Tribolium castaneum: one gene and its partners. The protein of the gene in region 5 interacts with the protein of the main gene of each other region in a biochemical or structural test. Links are inferred from orthologs where the notes say so. Each region holds a gene or a part of one and is shown on either strand. Other genes may lie near its edges.

The links.
Region 1: the proteins of Cul1 (region 5) and Cand1 form a complex in vitro, tested with the Homo sapiens proteins (6 studies listed by BioGRID and IntAct). The link is inferred for Tribolium castaneum from reciprocal best matches to the Homo sapiens genes CUL1 and CAND1.
Region 2: the proteins of Cul1 (region 5) and ago form a complex in vitro, tested with the Homo sapiens proteins (3 studies listed by BioGRID). The link is inferred for Tribolium castaneum from reciprocal best matches to the Homo sapiens genes CUL1 and FBXW7.
Region 3: of the proteins of Cul1 (region 5) and Den1, one has a biochemical effect on the other in vitro, tested with the Homo sapiens proteins (2 studies listed by BioGRID). The link is inferred for Tribolium castaneum from reciprocal best matches to the Homo sapiens genes CUL1 and SENP8.
Region 4: the proteins of Cul1 (region 5) and Ubi-p63E form a complex in vitro, tested with the Homo sapiens proteins (2 studies listed by BioGRID, with this or other methods). The link is inferred for Tribolium castaneum from reciprocal best matches to the Homo sapiens genes CUL1 and UBC.
Region 6: of the proteins of Cul1 (region 5) and UbcE2M, one has a biochemical effect on the other in vitro, tested with the Homo sapiens proteins (7 studies listed by BioGRID). The link is inferred for Tribolium castaneum from reciprocal best matches to the Homo sapiens genes CUL1 and UBE2M.

Annotation. Positions count from the first base shown.
Region 1 is NC_087403.1:5,733,007-5,737,060, forward strand, and holds the start of Cand1 (cullin-associated NEDD8-dissociated protein 1), read right to left. Parts: upstream 2,801-4,054; 5' UTR 2,686-2,800; intron 1,694-2,685; 5' UTR 1,624-1,693; intron 1,493-1,623; 5' UTR 1,445-1,492; coding exon 1,344-1,444; intron 688-1,343; coding exon 603-687; intron 544-602; coding exon 374-543; intron 327-373; coding exon 113-326; intron 69-112; coding exon 1-68. UniProt on the Homo sapiens protein: Key assembly factor of SCF (SKP1-CUL1-F-box protein) E3 ubiquitin ligase complexes that promotes the exchange of the substrate-recognition F-box subunit in SCF complexes, thereby playing a key role in the cellular repertoire of SCF complexes.
Region 2 is NC_087394.1:36,180,099-36,184,277, forward strand, and holds the start of ago (archipelago), read right to left. Parts: upstream 2,801-4,179; 5' UTR 2,540-2,800; intron 2,406-2,539; 5' UTR 2,396-2,405; coding exon 2,036-2,395; intron 1,990-2,035; coding exon 1,879-1,989; intron 51-1,878; coding exon 1-50. Other genes in the region: uncharacterized protein LOC655874, read left to right, coding at 3,143-3,266, 3,311-3,465, 3,513-3,724, 3,770-3,894, 4,093-4,179. UniProt on the Homo sapiens protein: Substrate recognition component of a SCF (SKP1-CUL1-F-box protein) E3 ubiquitin-protein ligase complex which mediates the ubiquitination and subsequent proteasomal degradation of target proteins.
Region 3 is NC_087399.1:1,312,927-1,315,347, forward strand, and holds Den1 (sentrin-specific protease 8), read left to right. Parts: upstream 1-1,130; 5' UTR 1,131-1,234; coding exon 1,235-1,563; intron 1,564-1,612; coding exon 1,613-1,916; 3' UTR 1,917-1,921; downstream 1,922-2,421. Other genes in the region: fatty-acid amide hydrolase 2, read right to left, coding at 2,406-2,421. UniProt on the Homo sapiens protein: Protease that catalyzes two essential functions in the NEDD8 pathway: processing of full-length NEDD8 to its mature form and deconjugation of NEDD8 from targeted proteins such as cullins or p53.
Region 4 is NC_087396.1:13,942,997-13,947,106, reverse strand, and holds Ubi-p63E (polyubiquitin), read right to left. Parts: upstream 2,801-4,110; 5' UTR 2,661-2,800; intron 2,547-2,660; coding exon 489-2,546; 3' UTR 399-488; downstream 1-398.
Region 5 is NC_087396.1:22,572,739-22,575,708, reverse strand, and holds part of Cul1 (cullin-1), read left to right. Parts: intron 1-1,342; coding exon 1,343-1,561; intron 1,562-2,443; coding exon 2,444-2,970. UniProt on the Homo sapiens protein: Core component of multiple cullin-RING-based SCF (SKP1-CUL1-F-box protein) E3 ubiquitin-protein ligase complexes, which mediate the ubiquitination of proteins involved in cell cycle progression, signal transduction and transcription.
Region 6 is NC_087394.1:37,270,882-37,273,885, reverse strand, and holds UbcE2M (NEDD8-conjugating enzyme Ubc12), read left to right. Parts: upstream 1-1,406; 5' UTR 1,407-1,578; coding exon 1,579-1,684; intron 1,685-1,730; coding exon 1,731-1,825; intron 1,826-1,876; coding exon 1,877-2,224; 3' UTR 2,225-2,504; downstream 2,505-3,004. Other genes in the region: msk (importin-7), read right to left, coding at 2,840-2,904, 2,958-3,004.

The DNA of each region.
Region 1 (4,054 bases), on a different chromosome or scaffold from region 5:
TTGCCAAAGCGGTATAACAAATCCGTGACAATGTCGAGAGCTTCCAGTTGCACGGACACGTCGTCTTGCTGCAAAGTTTCGTTGATTTTTGCTACAACGTTGACAAACGTACCCTTTCGATAGCAGTCGTCAAACGACCGGTGATCCGCTTGCAAATGTTTCCGGAGAGGCCCCCAGGTGCCTGTGGCAGTTCAGCGATAACCGTCTTGAGCCCAATGCTGGAAATATCCCGCAGTTGCTCCTTGTCGGAGACCATGTTGGTGCACAAGGCCTCAACAATGGTCTCCACTTGGAATTCCTTAACTTTGTTAACTAAAGGCCCCAGACTAGAAATTACGAGTGAGACAAGTGAAGTGTGATATGACTGACCTACCATTTGACAGCCAAGTTTTGTACTTCACCGTTTTTATCTTCAAGTAGTTTCAACAACATTCTTACAACCTTTCGTTCCGAATCATCATCTAATTTGATACTATCTTTCTGCAGTTCGGCCATTAAATCGTTTGTGGCCATAAATCGAAAATCTTTGTCAGATGATTGCATCTGAAATGATTTTTTACTCGAATTGCTGACCGAATACTGTGTAATACGATTTTACTAACCTTCTCAAGAAGATTGGCAATCTGGTAAGAGACACTAGCCATCTCTGCAGCGTCTTCTACTACTTGATCAACGTAACTGCGAAGTCTTTAAGCAAATTGATGTTAAATAAAACAGTTTTTTATTGTAAGACTGAATTTATATGAGCATTTCATCTAGTTCTTTTAGGTTAGAGTACGAAAATTGTAAATAATTTACTATGTGTGTCGTTCTGCATGTACAAATTAGACATGAAATACAGCTATCACTAACAAAGTAAGTAAATCACAATAATTACACTTATAATATCACTAATAATGAAAATTTGGAAATTTTTATTATTCACTAGCTTATATCAATCCACCACAATAATAATGACAACCTCAGACACCGGAGTACCAACTGCGATTTATTGTAATACCGGCTAAAGTGATTTGACAAAAATTTGCACCCATTTACGCGTTATTTTGTACAGTAATTGATATTTTTCAAATCATATAGTAAATTCCGATATTTTAATAACAAATTAAATCCCCACTACACTCCAAAGCGGCGCCATAGGCGTGCGGTTGGGAACCTTCCAATATTTCAAAATTGTGGAATTTTGGAATAAACTAAACACACAAGATTTTGAATAAGCCGAAAACACCTATTATCGTCACTTCGTGTGTACCGGAAAGACATAAAAATACAATTAGGTGGGACCGTACTACGCGTGCGCATTCATAGAATCTAGCGCCAAATTCAAACCCGTGAATACTTACTCGCATGTTACCAAAGCACGTTCAAGATCATCTAGCTCAAAAGCATGATCACCTTGCTCGTAAGGGTTACTTTCATCACCCTGTTGTTGTTCTTCGGCCATTTTGTATGATCAAGCACACACCGTTTAAATCCAAAATTTATCGTTTTGCTAAAAGGAAATAAAGCTAAATCATATCGTGTGTAAGTTCGTCATTTGTTGCCACTTTAGAAATCTACCGAAATCGACAAAAGTCTTGATTTGTTGCGAAGTTAGTAGTGTCAAAAAATTTCGTGGCTTACCTTTACAGTCGGATTTCTTCACCTCTGTGCGGGGGATCCCAAGCTCAGGTTGGCTCACGTAATCCAAAACCTGCCATTTGGAAAGCATTATCACCGAATTGTGACACAAAATGGAAATTTTCGATAAAATATGGAATCAACCAACCGACTTTTTTATTACTTGTGGCAGTTTTGTAACTGTTCAATTAATTTTCGTCATTAAAACAAATCAAATGCCATTAAAAAATGTTTTAGTTTTCTTTGAGACTTTAACAACTAAATGTTTGGGCGAAATCTCGTTTTATTTTTAATTATCAAACTGGTTATATGTAACAACAACACTTTATTCATCATTTGCATGAATTTAAACAAATGCAATTGGATGCTATGAAATGGACGCTAAGAAATTTGACCCCAAAATGGGCTTTGACTGTCAAGTTTTTGTATTAACATCATTTGACCTTCAATTTGATTCAATGTCAAACATTTATTGCGATTTAAATTAATAACCAAAAGGGTGGAAATTCCAAAAAAGGCAAAATAATTTTGTTTGGATACTCAATCTGGAAGAAATTTTATGGCACAATGTGGCTTTCTCATTTTCTAACCACTCGGGTTTTTACCCGATTTTGAGATAGTGGTTAGGTTTGGAAATTTTGAGAAGTGCAAACAATTTCGAAAATATATTACGCCATTTGACGATTTTTTGAGAACTTACCTAAATAAACCAGTCGTTTTTACTCAAAAGCTCACAATAGTTCTAACTAGTTCAGAGTTCTGGCCACGTCACCAAAGCTCGCCATTTTGAAACAAAGGAAAAGTTCTTGGAAAAACGGTTGTTGTTGCTAAGGGGTCGAAATTCGAATTTGGAACAACGGAAAACTCAAAAAATATGAAAAACTCAACTAAAGGCCTCAAATACACTATGTTGTTGTCGTTTTATAAATTTTTTTGGTCTTTTTACCCCGATTTGCGACACTACAATAGGGACGCCGGGGAAGGGGATGAATTTTGCAAGTTTTAATGAACTTGGTCAAGTTTCAGGATGGAACTATACTAAAAGAAGGTTTGTTAGGGCCTTACCTTGACAAAACAACAGTTTTTATTCAATTTCACACTCTAATGCACTAGATGAATTGAGATTTAAGACAGCTAACACGGGGTTGCGCGATGGTTCCCTCAGGATGATCGGCTCGTCGGCACTGCTCGGCCGTTCTCGGATTTGCGTTTAGTAATACCACTGTACTTTCTAAACTACTCTTTAATAATTATAAAAATATTTATTGCAATGTCAGGTAGCAAAATTTCCTCATAATAATTATTTAGAATTATAAAGAGGACCTATGCTAGGTCACACGTTTTTTTTAATGCTTGAAAATAAATAAATAAAATTTATACAAATTTTTACAGTGGTTAGTGTCATTGGATTGCAAAAATTACAGGAATTATTTATGATTTAGTGTTTCAATTAGTTTTACGTAAAAACATTGGCAAGAATTTCTATCATTAAAAAGACACGTGTCACTCAGTGTAGTCGAACTGTAGAGATGTAAAACAGATTAAAACTAATTAAAACAAAAACGTTTCTGTCTTTGTGTCATTGTTAACACAACATATAACTATTTTTTTATTAAATAAACGCAGAAATGCCAAATAAATTTACCGTTTGCCTTTTTAATAAAAATTCGTGTTTTATTGGTTGCATACTCCCCGGGGTGTCGTAGTCTGAACTTATCGCATAATCAATTATTTACAAAACTAAGTTTTTTACTTTTTGTAATTCCATTTAGGATGAACTGAGGGGAAAATAAAAGTTACGAAAGCTTTATAATACTTTATTGGCTTTAATACTCAAAAAATAACAATTCTTCTATTTACAGTAGGAGTAAAGTCACATCAAAGTTTAAAATATTATTCGCTATCACTATAAACAGCCATTTTTACATCTTTTTCATCACTATTGTTTATCAGATTAAAACGCAAGTACCCTCCGCGGGGCCGTTTCCTTGATTTAAAAATTTGCCACAATAAATGCAATACTAATAAAACGCTAACTATAAGTAACATAACAAATACCCTTATATACCATTTATCTGCTACTATTGAAGAGGCCACAGATGCGGAGTAACAAAAAGTTTCGGTGCTGGAAACCGGCACCAGTTGGGCATCTGGGAAACACTCGGAACACTGGTAGTCCACCGGGCCTGTGCACTTCTTACAAGTGTAATGGCATGGTAAGCACCGATTGGTGTTATTTTCCGGAGATAAATCTTCGGCCTCCGAAGGCCTCTCGCGCCTAAGCGTCAAATGGTAAAAGCCGTCAGGACAACTTTTGATACATCGACCCTTGTGTAAAAATAAATTTTCCGGACAGCCTAAAATTATGGCACTGTTAATGGTGCTGAGGCAGGTAAGGTATGGAAAAGAATTAGCGTTATCTACAGGAAAGCAA
Region 2 (4,179 bases), on a different chromosome or scaffold from region 5:
AGCAACTTCTTGCACGGAAACCCATTCTGCACGTCCAACTTCCGTTTTCTCTAAAAAAACCGAACAAAACACATTACAACTGCTAACAAAACAGCACAAAATATTCGTTTCAAAAAATATCAGAGAGAAGATTAGGCTAAAATCATATGTCGATCAACGTATTATGTTATCGACTCAACACTTACAAGTTTCATCATTAAAAAAAAAGAAGTACGACTGTTTTATTTTTGTTAAGCTCTTTACATTTGCGATTAATACATAAACACCATTAAGGTGAAAATAATGTAACATCTTAAACCGGAAAAACTAGCGTTAAAAAGCAAAATTAACCTGATAAGTTTTTTATGACATGCAGTTAATTATTACTACACTGTATTCTAATGCATGTGATTATGTGGAAATTGCTTTATTATCATAGATATTTGAGTAACATTGTTTACTAAACACAGAATTAGAGGTTGTCAAAGGTAACAAACATTTTTTCAACAATTTAAAAAAAAATCTACAGGCATAATAAATAACTATGAAAATTGTTAGTTTGTATTATACAACGATAATTTCAAAAAGGATCAAAATTATTACCTTTTATGTCTATCTTTAATTTACGTTATCGCCCAACTCGTGTTTACCAATACAAAAACAACAAGTAAACTAAATAGTTAAAAACAGCAAAGTCCCAAACAGGTTAAAGACCTTCATTGACCATGGGAATGTTTAAAAAACGAGCAATAACTTTAATGCACTACTACGTAAACGTGACTTATTCGCGTATTACTTATCGATTTTTCCCCAATGCCCCTTAATTATTCGTTTTGTTATTTTATCTAAAAGTTATATAAAGATTAAATACATAATTAAAACTGTGACGATTGTTTTTAAACTCGTATTATACATAGATAAGGTAAGCGTTCATTAAAACCAAATTCCTTTAAATTACATTTTCGACCAAATAGTCAAGACCAACTCGTATTTTTTAATTATTTTCTTTTTAAATTGTCAAAACAACAACCAAAAATGGTCACAACTTTACTTATGAGAGTAATATTATTTATTATTAGTCACATTTTGTTAAAAAAAATTAAACAAAAACTAGTATTGAGAAATTATTTAATACAACAGGTATTGCAAAGATTAAGTACCACCTGAGCAGTGGCGTAATAAAATGTGTCACTGATTTGTTTACAAAAAATTGCAGATAATTACACTAGTTTACCACGATTTTTACCAATGTCAGTAGAATAATTACCACTAAATCTGATGCTGAAGTCGAAAACAAATTAAGTTTAAATACTCATTATAAAGTATCAGTATTTGACAATTTTCGCAACATCTAAAATGTTACAGATTGCTTCTTCTCTTGTACTATCAGGGTGTTTATCTCAATGTGGACTAGTAGAAAACGAATAACATATTTTTATCCCAAAAACCTTAATAACTCTCTTCATAAGATTTGATGAAAATATTTACCATTTGATCGTTTAAGTCTCCCAGATTTTATAGACAATTTTACCACAAACAAAACAAAAGTTGTTTGGACTTAATCTACATTCACTTGAAGATATTTTAAAATAATTACAAGGTTTAACAATAGTTGATCACAGAAACAATGAATGCCACCAGAAACAAATTTTTAAAACTTTTAGTGAATATATTAAGAAAACTACACGTGTTAGACAAATGTGACATATATTTTAGTTATCAGTGAATAAGAAAAAAGCAAAATTAATATAAATTATCTCTGCCTGTAATTTTTTGTTTGCCTTGTGCTAACCATTTGCAGAAAATGCATTATCCAGTGATGGAAACAGTCAATGGGTTTATTTTTAAAATAATATTATTGCACATTCGCTTGAAACAACAAACATAATTTCTGCTTACCCAGTATCTGTCAGTGGCGTACGACCCACTTCTCTTCGCGTACGAACTCCTTGGTGTTGTTTGATGAGGACCTGGAGGTGAACCTGAAAAAACTTCACTGCTATCTTCGTCCTGTAAAAATAATTTAGTAAAAAGTTAACACACTGTATGGAGTTACCTCTTCTAGCTCTTGATTTTCTTCAGAGAGGTCTCCTTCAGTACAATCCTCCCAGTTTTCTTCCTTCTCAAAACTGTCTTCTTCATCACATTCTTCCAGACCTAGCTTATTGAGAAAGCTAGTTTTTTCAGTCTCCTCGCCCGATTGACTAATTCTAAATATCTCATCTAGTTTTTCACTCAATGGAGCTAAGTGATTCTGGGATGTACCTGGTGCATTATCAGTGGTACACAACGACTCTAGACAAACGGTTTCAGTAGGGCTAGGGCTGGTGCAGTCTTGTTTTGGAAGTTCTGAATCTCGATTAATACTAGATAAGGGGTTGAAATTACTTCTGCCTGAAGGACATGATTCTGCCATTATCTACAGTCTAGAAAAAACAAAAAACGTCTTAAGTAAAGTTTTGCGATAAAATTATCTCCGCGAGTGAAACACGTTATCCTACTTAATTACAAGATGAGTGCAATGGGGGAAAAATGGTTAGAATAATTGCATCTGACATACCTACTGATGTAATTTTCTATCATTATTCGAAGGCATGAAACGAAACTACTCTAACTACCAGATAATTGCAAGAGAAGAAGGAAAATTAACGAAATGCTTCCAAAAACTATGCATCAAGGACCACTGTTTGCTACTTCCTATCACTCCGAGACACTAAAGCGAGTTTTCTTGTGCATCTCGCTGGGTAAAATACCTTTTCAAAAAACTACACTGACGGCCATTCTCAAAATACTAGGATTTATTGGCACCATTACAAATATCTGGACGAACTTGTGTAAATGAAGAATAAGAAATATCAGCAAAATCGCGTGGCTAAGGCGCCGCCCCGTTTCACAAACACCCTGACTCCACAAACCATTCGCCCAAAAAAACATCCAGGACCCCAAACTTTTGGAAAACACTCACCAATTGCAGGAAAATCCGTTTTGTGTTTTTCCCCAACACCATTGCATTGTATTTCGAGAATTTACGCTACGATTTCGTGACTTTAGTTACAGGAGTAGCAAGGTGACAAGCTGGGGGAATTTAACGGCGCACATGTGATTTTAGTGGCTTTTTTGCACCAAAACTTAACCTCGAACTCTTTTTTGAATTTGTGTTAAAATGATTGAAAACGAATTAAATACGGTGGTTTATCCACCGAATAAATCGCTGCAACGGAAAGTCGAACTTTCGACAACACCGGTCGTTTACAAACACTTACTTTTCCTAGAATTTAATGAAAAAGGTAAGGTGGGTTTTTTTCAATTTTGGCGATTAATTGTCTTTTAGACGAGTCAGTTCTGGGGTGTTCGAACTTAAACGGGACTCTTTGGGAAGGCACTTTGCTATTTTTCTCAAATGAGGAGAATTTGTTGCTTCTGAAACACAACAGAAGCTTGATTGGGTCCACGGTTTCAGACGGGAAATTTTTAAACGACAGTACTGTAAGTTTCAGCTAAATGTGTACACACAACAAATAATATGAAAATAGTTTGCGTTAGCTGAAGATACGGGTCTTTTAAATATTCTCACAATATCACGTGAAAACCAAACCATACAATCGGCAGGTTATTATAGGGAAATAGATCGCATTCCGAAAATCGCAGTTTGGAAGAACAGCACACGGATACTCACCTGCTCGAATAAAGCGGTGACCATTTGGGACATTAATAGCACTATCCGTAAACCACTAAATCACTTTCCGTAAGTTTTATCAACAATTTTCCCTTATCTAAGTTTTATTTCCAGCGATTATCACACGGAACTTGTAAACTATGTTGATACACTTAAGTCGGAACCAAACGTCTTTGTCACAGCTTCAATGGACCGGAAGTGCTGTATTTGGGACGACCGTAATCCGTGCCCTGCCTCAGGTAATTATTTTTTCGTCCAGTGAGGCGAAAAAATCATGTATATTTCACGGGAGCAAAGTGAAGATGTAAACATTATTTTCAAGTATACAAGTGTCCAAAGTTAGCTACAATAGGAAATTGTTTTTTTTTGTAATGGATGTAGCTTTTAATACTGATGTTTTTGAGCTAAATTTTTATCGAAAAATATTTATTTTTCAGTTTTGTACAACAACGAGTTTTGCTCTCTAACCAGCGTTGCATGCAACCAACACAACACGAATTACGTTGTTGTGGGCACAGAAGGCG
Region 3 (2,421 bases), on a different chromosome or scaffold from region 5:
TTTAGACACCTAGAAAATGACTAAGGTGTTTGTTACTTTCTCGTCTCTTTCGTTTTAGCGTCCTAAATTTTTGGATACTGACTGTACAGAGTGTCCCAGCTAGGTGGAAAAGTTCAGTATTGACTTTTTTGGACGTAGCTTTTAATACTGATGACTTTAATTTAAACTTGCTTGGTTTTTGAAATATTTTTTGACGAAAACACACTTTTTTAGTAGAGTATAATACTTTTGTTAAATTTATAAAGGAAGCTGTGTTAAAATTTAATTCGCTGTTAAAATGGTCCAACCAAATTGCTTAAATTTGGTCACGTGATCAGTTAATCACTCATTTAATTGCGGATTAAATTAATCACGCTTCCCTAAGGGAGGTTTATAGAAAGCTTCATTAAATTTTAATTCGTTGTTAAAAGTTTAGATTAATCAGAAGAGACACTTAACTGGTTATGTTTTTACAGTTTTTTTTTGGTCACAACAAAATAAAGTTTTGCTTTGAAAAATTATTTTTGCTGATGTTTTCGTTTTGCGATTTCGATTAATCGGCGAGTTCGCTTTTATTCTTCCAATTTTCACGTCAATTTAGCAAGTTAATATGCTCAGAAGGATCAAAACAACTTTCTCTAAAAATGTGCGAATAATTGGAATCGTAATTATTGATTTTTTTACTGCAAAACATTTAGCGGAAACGTTAGTGTATCAAGTCGTTACACGACTTTGATTTTGTAAAGCAAAGTCGTAAATACACAAGTTGATTTCTAATAACGGTAATTTTATTAAATTGACACCTTCGAGTGTTTAGTTGTGTTGCATTCTTTAGCCGAGAAAAATGAGACACTTAACGAGGTGAGTCCGATAAATAAGCGCCGATTTTGTAAAAAACTGTACGGTTTTATGCTCTTTTACGAGCGGACGGAACGTCATGTAATCAAATTTTTTCGATTTTTCAATTTCAAAATGAAAACTCGCGGGCATTGCAAAAACGAAACACCAACATGAGACCACCAAATGCCCCAACTCGACTACGAGTTTAAACGATTTTTAAATTGATTTCGTCCAGTATTTTGCAATAAACAGGCACTTGTAGTAAAAAGACGATCAAATTACATAATAATTGGGCACATTTTAGTCATAATTTTGCCAAAGTCCAATTGGCAATTCGCCGGTTGATTGGCACGCCTGGGTAAACAACTAACATAACCCCACTTTAGTCAAAAATCTAAATTTTAAGTGTAATAAAATGAGCAAAGACCCGATTGTGCTAAGTTACGACGAGAGTCTTTTGCGCAAATCGGACGTGGAGCTCCTCCAAGGGCCCCACTGGCTCAACGACAACATAATTTCCTTCTACTTCGAGTACTTGAAGAACACGTTCAAACAAGCCCCCCATATTTTATTCGTGCCCCCTGAGGTGACCCAGTGTGTGAAAATAACCCCCAGTTCCCAAATCGGCATCTTCCTGGACCCGCTCGATGCGCGGCACAGACGTTTTATTTTTTTTGCCTTGAATGATAACGAGAGGCCCCAAGCGGCGGGGGGCACACATTGGAGTTTGCTGCTGTTTTCACGGTAGTGCGTGAGAGTTTGTTGAAAAAAAGGGTGATAATGTGTGTTTTAGGCCCGATAAGACCATTTATCACTATGATTCTTCCAGAGGGATGAATCGGGAGCAGGGTGAGAATTTCGGGCGTAAGATTTTTAGTTATTTCGGGATCGAGGGGCAGTTTAAGGAGGAGAGGGCGCTGCAGCAGAACAATGGGTATGACTGTGGGATTTACGTGATTTGTAATACGGAACATTTGGCCAGACATTTAATTTCGTATAATTGTGTTGAGGGGTATGGCTCTAACGAGGATTTGGTGAATAGTGTGGGGTCGATGCGCAACCAAATTTACAATGTCATCGAGCAATTAAAAAGCTAGTCGAACTAGAGTTTTATTTTTTCCGAGACAAATTTTTTATCCGAACGTACTGAAATTTTGCATACATACGTAATCTTGTGATAATGCAGTTCTATTTGTTTTAATTTCAAAACTCGTTATGAATTTTTAGTAAAATTAAGAAAAAATGTGCTGAATGAATCAAAAACTGTGATTAGACTCTTAAAACAGGCAAAAAGTGTGCCTTTGTCGTCATAATTCAGCGATTTTTCGTGTTATTTTTGGCAAGATTTGGTGAATCTATGTATGGGGACCAAAAAAAGCCAGTGAAACAGGAGAGAGATTTTATTATAAAATTCAACATTGAGTTATAAAAATAATCTCATTGTAAATAGTACAAATGATTAAAATAGAACGTGATACAGACACATCAACCGTGTAAACATTTATAAAATATAGGTAGTTCTATAAAAGGGTTGGTACTTTGAGCTTGGCTCTCTCAGTCCGAATACTGTGCTATCACTAAGGCATTTAAGCGTCCACTTCA
Region 4 (4,110 bases), about 8.6 Mb from region 5:
TTTTTTTTGTCTTTAAGTTTTTTATTTTTATGCCTAACGTCAAATTCGATCGGCTGCCAAGTCCGGTTTCTCCGAATATCAATGAAAGTGAAGTCTTTATTTTTAACACTGTATTTAGCTTAACGAATTACTCCAAAATATGTGCAGTCATATGAATAACTTATTTTTTTAAGAATTTGTTGCCTTGTTGGAAATATACCTCAAATCTTTTTTTAATTTCAATTTGTGTGTTGGCGATTTTTGGAGAATTCTCGTGAGCGTACATTCTCGCGGGCCTACAATCTCGTCTAAGCTCCAAATCCAAAGACAAACCAACCCCGTAAAGCCAAATGTTTTAAAATTTTGATAAGCATTTTTTTGAATTAATTCACATGGAGTACTAAAATAAAACACAAGAATTAAGCCATCAATCTTTATTCTCTATTCGTAATTTCAGGAAACTTGTAACAAAAAGTAAAAAAAATATTAAGCATAGAAATTCCAGAAAATTACTGTCCTCCGCGAAGACGTAAGACTAGATGAAGAGTGGATTCCTTTTGGATATTGTAGTCCGAAAGTGTGCGACCATCTTCCAACTGTTTTCCCGCAAAGATCAATCTTTGCTGGTCTGGGGGAATACCTTCCTTATCTTGAATTTTGGCCTTCACATTTTCAATCGTGTCCGATGGCTCAACTTCCAACGTAATTGTTTTCCCAGTCAACGTCTTCACGAAAATTTGCATACCTCCTCGCAGACGCAATACTAAATGTAGGGTTGATTCTTTTTGAATATTATAGTCCGACAGGGTGCGCCCATCTTCGAGTTGTTTGCCAGCAAAGATCAACCTCTGCTGATCTGGAGGAATGCCTTCTTTATCCTGGATTTTAGCTTTAACATTCTCAATTGTGTCTGAGGGTTCTACTTCCAAAGTGATCGTCTTTCCCGTCAAGGTCTTCACGAAAATTTGCATGCCACCTCGGAGACGCAACACCAAGTGGAGAGTGGATTCCTTCTGGATATTGTAATCGGAAAGAGTACGGCCGTCTTCTAGTTGTTTTCCAGCAAAGATCAATCTTTGTTGGTCTGGTGGGATACCCTCTTTGTCTTGAATCTTAGCCTTGACGTTCTCAATTGTATCAGAAGGTTCGACTTCCAGGGTGATGGTTTTGCCAGTCAGAGTTTTAACGAAAATTTGCATGCCACCTCGGAGCCGCAATACTAAGTGGAGTGTTGATTCTTTTTGAATGTTGTAGTCGGAGAGAGTTCGGCCATCTTCGAGCTGTTTGCCGGCGAAGATCAACCTCTGCTGATCTGGGGGAATCCCCTCTTTGTCCTGAATTTTCGCCTTAACGTTTTCGATAGTGTCCGATGGTTCTACTTCCAAAGTGATCGTCTTCCCAGTCAAAGTCTTTACGAAGATTTGCATGCCACCACGGAGACGCAACACCAAGTGGAGGGTCGACTCTTTCTGGATGTTGTAGTCGGAGAGTGTGCGACCATCCTCCAACTGTTTGCCGGCGAAAATCAATCTTTGCTGATCTGGGGGAATCCCCTCTTTGTCCTGAATTTTCGCCTTCACGTTTTCGATTGTGTCCGAAGGTTCGACTTCAAGAGTGATCGTTTTTCCAGTCAAAGTCTTCACGAAAATTTGCATGCCACCTCGGAGACGCAACACCAAGTGGAGGGTGGATTCTTTTTGGATATTGTAGTCGGAAAGAGTACGGCCGTCTTCAAGTTGTTTTCCAGCGAAGATCAATCTTTGTTGGTCTGGTGGGATACCTTCCTTGTCTTGGATCTTGGCCTTAACATTCTCAATGGTATCAGAAGGTTCGACCTCCAAGGTGATGGTCTTGCCAGTCAGGGTTTTGACGAAAATTTGCATGCCACCTCTCAAACGCAATACCAAGTGAAGGGTGGATTCCTTCTGGATGTTGTAATCTGAGAGGGTACGCCCATCTTCTAGTTGTTTCCCGGCAAAGATCAATCTTTGTTGGTCTGGTGGGATCCCTTCCTTATCCTGAATCTTAGCCTTGACGTTTTCAATCGTGTCGGAAGGTTCGACTTCCAAAGTAATGGTTTTCCCAGTCAAGGTCTTGACGAAGATCTGCATGCCTCCCCTCAGACGCAAAACCAAGTGAAGGGTGGATTCCTTCTGGATGTTGTAATCGGACAAGGTGCGTCCGTCTTCGAGTTGTTTACCAGCGAAAATCAAACGCTGTTGATCTGGAGGGATGCCCTCCTTGTCCTGGATCTTGGCTTTGACGTTCTCGATCGTATCAGAGGGCTCAACTTCCAGAGTGATGGTCTTGCCAGTGAGTGTCTTAACGAAGATTTGCATACCGCCCCTCAATCTCAAAACCAAGTGGAGCGTCGATTCCTTCTGGATGTTGTAGTCAGACAAAGTGCGTCCGTCTTCGAGTTGTTTGCCAGCGAAGATCAAACGTTGCTGGTCTGGGGGGATACCTTCCTTGTCCTGGATCTTAGCTTTGACGTTTTCGATGGTATCGGAGGGCTCGACCTCCAAGGTGATGGTTTTACCAGTCAAAGTCTTCACGAAGATCTGCATCTGCAACGACACAAAAAATTACTTTTGTGACAAAGCAAATTTCCAAGCCGCCATATTGGATTTCGTTGAACAAAGAATTACGCACTGAATAAACCGAAAAAACACATTACTCACTATGTGGTTTGGTTTTGAACAGATCGACAAATTTACAAAATTAATTTTGTTAAAATTTAAACAAAAAAACACGTCACTAGGGCGATGTTTTTTCAAACAAATGTTATTGCGTCATGCGAAAAATTTCACAAAATTGCGACTTTCTGCGCTTCTTGCAATCGAATAATTCATGATGAAATTAAAATACATACCTTTACGGCTAGGAAAATTCACAATTTTAATTAAATCGCTTTTGTATTTCACCACTTTTGCTCAGACAATATGGCGAATGCAGCTGTGGAACCGCTTTTATACGGACGGCTTCCCCCACTCCTTTTTAATCTCGAACCCAAAGTACACTTTCTAGAATTTTCGACTAATTATCCAAAAAACGTCCTCTTTAATCAAAAATTTATACATAAACTTTAGTTGCTATCAGTTTAATGCCAATTCGGTTAATCGTGGTCAAAACAATGTTTCAGGTATTAAGAAAATTGCTTTTAATTGAACAAGATTCTAGGGACTTTGGCCAGTAGTTGTTGGTGACATGTCAGCTGATTTTTATCTACGTCGTCAGCTTTATCGATCAGCTGTTTTCTTTGTTTTGGAATTACGCCCTTTTTTATTTTTCAAATTTTAATTTATTTTCCAATTTATGCTTTTCAAACGTTTCAAATAAACCACCCATTAATACCTGCATGAAATGCCAAATTCGTCTGTTCAATTTTGAAAGGAATTTATTTGTTTACAAAGAATTATCCTTATCGTTGTTGTTCTAGAGTCTTGTTTATCATGTAAATACGGACGACAATAATAAATTATGTAAAAGGGTCATTTGGGACAAAGAAAAGTACAGTAATTCATTACAACTTATTTATTCTTCATATTGTAATAGATAAGGCACATTTGTGTCTATAAAATGGAAACAAATATCACATAAAGAGGCAATTATTGTGGCAAACAAACCCCTAAAATATGAAAATTAATTACAAAAATAATGGGCCATTTTACACTACACAGCGTCCATAAAATTAAAACTACAAGAACATGCTACCGAAATTACAGCAACAACAAAAATATTGCATCAGATTGATTATACGCCATAATTTCATACTTCCTATATCAACAATTCAAAATTATGATACTTTAACAAAGCGTAATTCTATTACTTCAACATAAATCTTTCGTCCGCATTATAAAACTAAGCAGTCAACAAATACATTTCATGTTACCTAAAATATACAATTCGGCTTTAACAGTTGCTAAACGTAACGTAGTCCAACTACAAAAATACAGGATAAGACGTGATAAACTTTATAGTTCCAAAACGGTAATAACCGCTTTTGGTAAACATGTTGACATTGGTGATCACCTAAAATTATTTACACGATTCGTTGTATTCTTCGCCCTATTATAGCTAAATTCGTTTAATAAAGCTGCCCACATGATTTCGAAAATAGACAAAATATAA
Region 5 (2,970 bases):
GTTGCGAGTTGAACGACCACGTATTTGAATATTTCATATTTTTATAATGGTATCAATTACGCAACGTTATCGATTCGCCACAGATAAAAAAAAATCTCGTTTCCAACAGTGTTTTAACGTTAATTATCTTGAATGTTGTTTGGTCACGAGCTATGGCAATGGCGCCACATTTACTTCCGCTTTATTACAAAATTTCGGTGCAAGAAAGTAAATACGTTTTTCGGTGAAAATTCAGGTCAGCGATTATTTCCAGCGAAAGTTCAAAGGGTCGACGGATAAGAAGTGCACTTGGCAATAACAAAATCGGGGAAAAATACCGAAAATTGCAGAATTGTTGTTTTTCCTTGAGTGACGTTTCGTGCTGTAATTACCGCAGTTGATGCAAGACTAATTTTCGGTTGAGGAAATTTTCCGGTGACGCTTAATTTATCGATCGAGGGAATATCTGTTTTTGATTAAAAAAAAAAAAACGAAATGCCAGTGTTAAAATATTAAGTGGAAGCGTGGAGAAAGTGTGACTGAATAATGCACGAAGGGATAACGAAAATTACAATTTTAAATTGGTCAAAGGATGAAGTTCACATTTTATCATCGTTATCTGTTGGAACGACTCGTAAATTAGTTGAGACGGTTCAGGTCGTGTTAATCGAGCGCGGAATAAGATTGTGAAACAAGAAATTGAATGAATCATGATTTTGACGCAATAATCGCCAGCAAATCTTGACAGTAATAAAAGCCTAGTCGTGAATTGTTTTGCTTTTTATGAACGAACAAGTTGGAAAAAATCTATGATGAAATTTACTAAAATCTAAAAAAAATATTCGTTGTTGTGGTTTAAATAAAATAAACTGAGCGATTTGAGACAAAATAATTTCTTTGGAATTTTTTTTTTGTAAAGACTACAATGTTTTACGTTTACATGCAAATTCCAGTTAAACTCTGTCATTAACCTTGGTTAAAAGGTAATTATAACAATACGTGTTATTTTTAAACCCACCTTAATGGAATCTCAATTCGAATAAGACACCAGAGAAAGATAAAAAATTCGAGTGAATTATTCAGTAATCTTATCTGTTTTAACTGTTTGGAAAAAAAAAAACGTACTGGACAAATATGAATATAATTTTATTAATTTATGAATCCACGTTTGCGAACCAACTGCGTTTTGTTGTTTCGATGCGTATTGTTTGGTCCGCCGCACAAATAAAAACACAATTAACGCAATAAAGGCGGAAACAGACATGTAGCAAAACAAGTTATTATTGACGTGATTTGATTATTGCGTAGTAATTTCGAAACCGGAAGATTTACAAATCAATTTTTTCATTTTTTTTTCTGTTAGGACGGGATGAATCGGATGGGTGAAGGCGTTTTGAAATTTTATACGCGTCAATGGGAGGAGTATCAGTTCAGTAGCAAGGTTCTGAATGGTATTTGCTCGTATTTGAATCGACATTGGGTGAAGAGAGAATGCGAAGAGGGAAGGAAAGGAATCTACGAAATTTATCAGCTCGCACTGGTGACATGGCGAGATCATCTGTTCAAACAATTAAACAAACAGGTTAGCCACAAATTCGCGCGGAAAACTATCAATATTTATGGGGAAGGGAAAAACGAGGGGTCATCTACGGCTCACTGTACTTTATTTAACTTCTTTTTTTTTTATTTAATTTAGAAGGTGAGAACAGTTTCAAAATTATCCAAAAAGAACCGAAAAGTCGGCTAATTCAGCAGAAGGCGATTTTGATGAAAGCTTTAATAAATTTCAAAAATATATTTATAATCTCGGAGAGTATGAGTAGCTGAAGATCTGGAGCCTTTAGGAAGATTTGACATTTTGAATTTGAAAGATTACACTCCACATGAAGGTCAAAAAAACATTTAAATTTAACCCACTATTGACTCACCCTGTATGTGAATTTTCTCATATTTTTTCTACAATTTCTTAAAATTAATAAATTAATATTAAGGGCTGGTTTGCCTGAATGTTTTTGGTTACAATTTAATGTGAGATCATCCAACTTTTTGGAGGATTTTTTGAGGCTAGCTACAATGTTTTCTACGTAATTTTGACATAAATCAAAATTTGAAATATTTTTTTCAGTCGCTTACGATTAATTAATTTGTTTTGATTGCGTATAAGGAACTTGTAAAAATTTTGAAAAGATTTACTTGCATAGAGAAAAACAGGCATTTAATGTGTGTTTATAATTTTTTGCGATACGGTAAAAATAAACTTATTTTAGCCCACTTACGCTAGCTAATCTGGTATGGAAAAATCCTCAGAAAAATGAAATAAAAAAAATACTTCTGAGGTAATAAATAGAATTATATTAATTTTAAAAGTTTTGTTTTTGCTTTCGTTTTAAATTAGTAAATATTGAGAGTTTGCAAGCCCCTATCCGGGGCTGTCGTTTTTATTTTTCTCCCCCGTTCAAACCAGGTAACAACTGCCGTTCTGAAACTGATCGAACGCGAGCGCAACGGCGAAACAATCAACACTCGTTTAGTCTCTGGCGTGATAAACTGTTACGTGGAATTGGGCCTAAACGAGGAGGAACCAGGGGCCAAAGGACCGAACCTATCGGTGTACAAAGAGAGTTTCGAAAACATGTTTCTGGAAGACACTGAACGCTTCTACCTAAAAGAGAGTAACAACTTCCTAGCACAAAATCCGGTCACTGAATACATGAAAAAGGCCGAACAACGTCTCCTCGAAGAACAGAAACGCGTCCAAGTCTATCTACACGAAACAACAAGCGGCCGTTTAGCCAAAACCTGCGAAAGAGTCCTCATTAAAAAGCACCTCGACATGTTCCATTCGGAGTTCCAGCAGTTGTTGGACGCCGACAAAGACGAGGATTTGGGTCGGATGTACTCGTTGGTAGCGCGGATTCCGGACGGTTTAGGGGAATTACGGACGCTTCTCGAGCAACATATCGCAGCTCAGGGGCTCTCAGCGATTGAAAA
Region 6 (3,004 bases), on a different chromosome or scaffold from region 5:
TGGAGAAAAAAATGGTTAAATACAAAAATTTGAATGTGCTATAGGAGATGTAAGTGAGTAGTAAGTTTTTAATTTATTTGAAGGTTAAATAATCTAGGAAAAAAACTGTTATTCTTTTATGCAAACTCATCGTGATTTACATTTACAATATGCTCCCAAATATTTTTTTACACCTCATAACAGCATGGAGAAAAATATCTACTTTGACTAAGTCTCATTTAATTCGTAATAATTGTTGTGATGGATCATCAAAAATTAAATGTAATGACTGGTGCTTTTTAAAAGGAACTGATGTGATATAATATTATTTGCAGATAATATGCAAGAATAATTGCACAATAATTTTTATTTAACACAATTTTTTTCCTAAAATTAGATATAGGATCAAACAAACAATATTAATAAACGAAAAATACAAGCTTTTTAAATTAATGAATTATTGATTGATAACTAGAAAAGCCATTTCTCTGAAGTCGTCTGTAAAATGGTTACATTACAGACCATATTTATTTGGGTTCAAAATAGTCTCTAGAGTGTCGTACTTTTCAAAGCTCATAAAATGTGATAACTGATGACGTGATGAGTGATGAGACTTTGTGTGAAATGACTGCATTTCCAATTTTTTTTAAGAAACTTGGAAAATTATCAATTCAGAAAAGCACTAAATTTGTTTTTTACACTCAGATGAGTCAGATGGTTATCTCCTCTGCTATCTATCACTTTAGACAACAAACCCCATATTCATGAAAACTCAATTTTAATTTAAATATTACAATATTTTAGGCAAAATGCTAAAATATTTTTTAATTAATAATTTCGTAAAAAAATTAAAATTGCTCAAACCGTCGCGTCGTCTGCGTTGATAGTTGAATGACAATTAACGAAGACGACGCGACGGCTCAAACCCGTGGCCCAAACTTTGCAAAAGTTGCTCTGCGCGTCAAAATGTAGTACCGTATAAAATTTCAATAACGATGCTTTAAAATATTAGGGTTGGATTTATATTAACAAATAAATTAGAAATGTGTACACTTACCTTTGAGTAACTGCAAACATTCGTTTCAATGTTCATCTGTGGTCTGGTGGTCAACAAACTAATACACAAACTAAAAACACAATAACGAACAGTTCTAAAACGCTCCTAAACCGAAATAATTCGTTTCACAGAATAATTTTACGAATTTCAACAACTCAAGACGCGAAAAATCCGCAGAGGATGACAAACGCACCAGTAGTACCAATGTAATAACAACGGCACGAAATAAATTAATTTAAATAGCTTTGAACATAGTCTTCTGATGGTCTGCTTTATTGATTTGGATCTTTTGATTAAGTGCTTTGCAGAAAAATTCTTAGCATTAGCAATAAATGAATTTTTTAAATTTTTTCATTAAGAATTCGTTCCGATGGTAAAGTAAATTCCTGCATGTCCCATTGACAGTTTTGACATTGACAGATGTGTGAAAAATTCTCTTGCAAAAAGCAATCGAATAAACTCGACTTTCCCATGTTTTTGTAAAGTGTGCTCGCAGTAAATTACATTGCTCTGACCCCTCACCACCCCTGCGCCAGCCAAATATGATAAAACTATTCTCGCTGAAGCAACAGAAAAAAGATGGAGAAGCCTCACCGCGACCAGGAAATCAAAAGAAAGCCTCTGCAGCCCAGTTGAGGATTACGAAAGGTTGGTTGTGAGTCATTGCGCCCCCATTTTGACCCTCCCTTTGCAGATATCAACGAGCTGAACCTGCCCAAGACCTGCACGACGGAGTTTCCCGATCCGGACGACTTGCTGTCTTTCAAACTGGTGATTTGTCCGGATGAGGTTAGTTGTGGATTAGTGTGTGGGGTTGTGGTTAATTGGGGGGACGTTTAGGGTTTCTACAAGACAGGGAGGTTCGTATTCAGTTTCAAAGTGGGCCCCAATTACCCGCATGAGCCCCCCAAAGTCAAATGCGAGACACAGGTCTACCACCCCAACATCGACCAACAGGGCAACGTGTGCTTGAACATTTTAAGGGAGGATTGGAAGCCCGTACTGACTATCAACAGTATCGTCTATGGACTGCAGTATTTGTTCCTTGAACCCAATCCAGAGGATCCTTTGAACAAGGAAGCGGCTGAAGTGCTCACGACCAACAGGCGGCTGTTTGAGCAGAACGTCCAGAAGGCGATGCGTGGAGGGTATGTTGGCAGTACTTATTTCGACCGCTGTCTCAAGTGATTCTTATGTGTAAAGAACTTATTTATAAGTTTACTGTTTTATGCTCGTTGACGAGGACACTCGAGTGATTCTTGCATACCTAATTACTAATTTCGTTTATTAAAGCTACCACTATGTTGTTTTATTTGGCTTTTTCATCTCAATCGTTCTATTGTGATCATCATATCTCACTCCAGCGTAAAGCACCACAAAGCGGTGTGTTGTAATTTCTCCTCAGTGAAATGTAACTGATTTAATTAAGAAAATAGATAATTTTTCATAATAAAAATCTACAAAAATTCGAAGCAATTCTTTATTAAAATGCAATAACTTAACACCTTTCAGTATATTATAGAAATAATGTAATTTACTACATTGTCTTTCCCTAAAGAAGAAAACAAATGAGACAAAAGAGACACAGTCGAAAAATAATTACAATTACACGGAAAATAAACTTCCATTTAAATCTATATTAGGTAAATTTAAATCGTTTACATCCGTTTTTTTTTTGTTTAATAAAAAGGCACTTAATAAAAATTAAAAAAGATTAAATTACCAACTGTACATCATTTCACTGGTCTTAACAGTCAATTTTACATTCAGTCACAAAAATTTTACACACCACGTCACATATATTCATGACGGTTTTGGAGCGCCAAACTTAAAAGTTGTGGGTACTTCATGTTGTGTAAACATAAAACCTGGACAAACAAAATTAATTTGTTATTCCCCCAACACTATCATATAATTTTACCTCCCGATTGTTCAATTCTTTTACTTTCTTTGGCTGCTTTCCTCTGA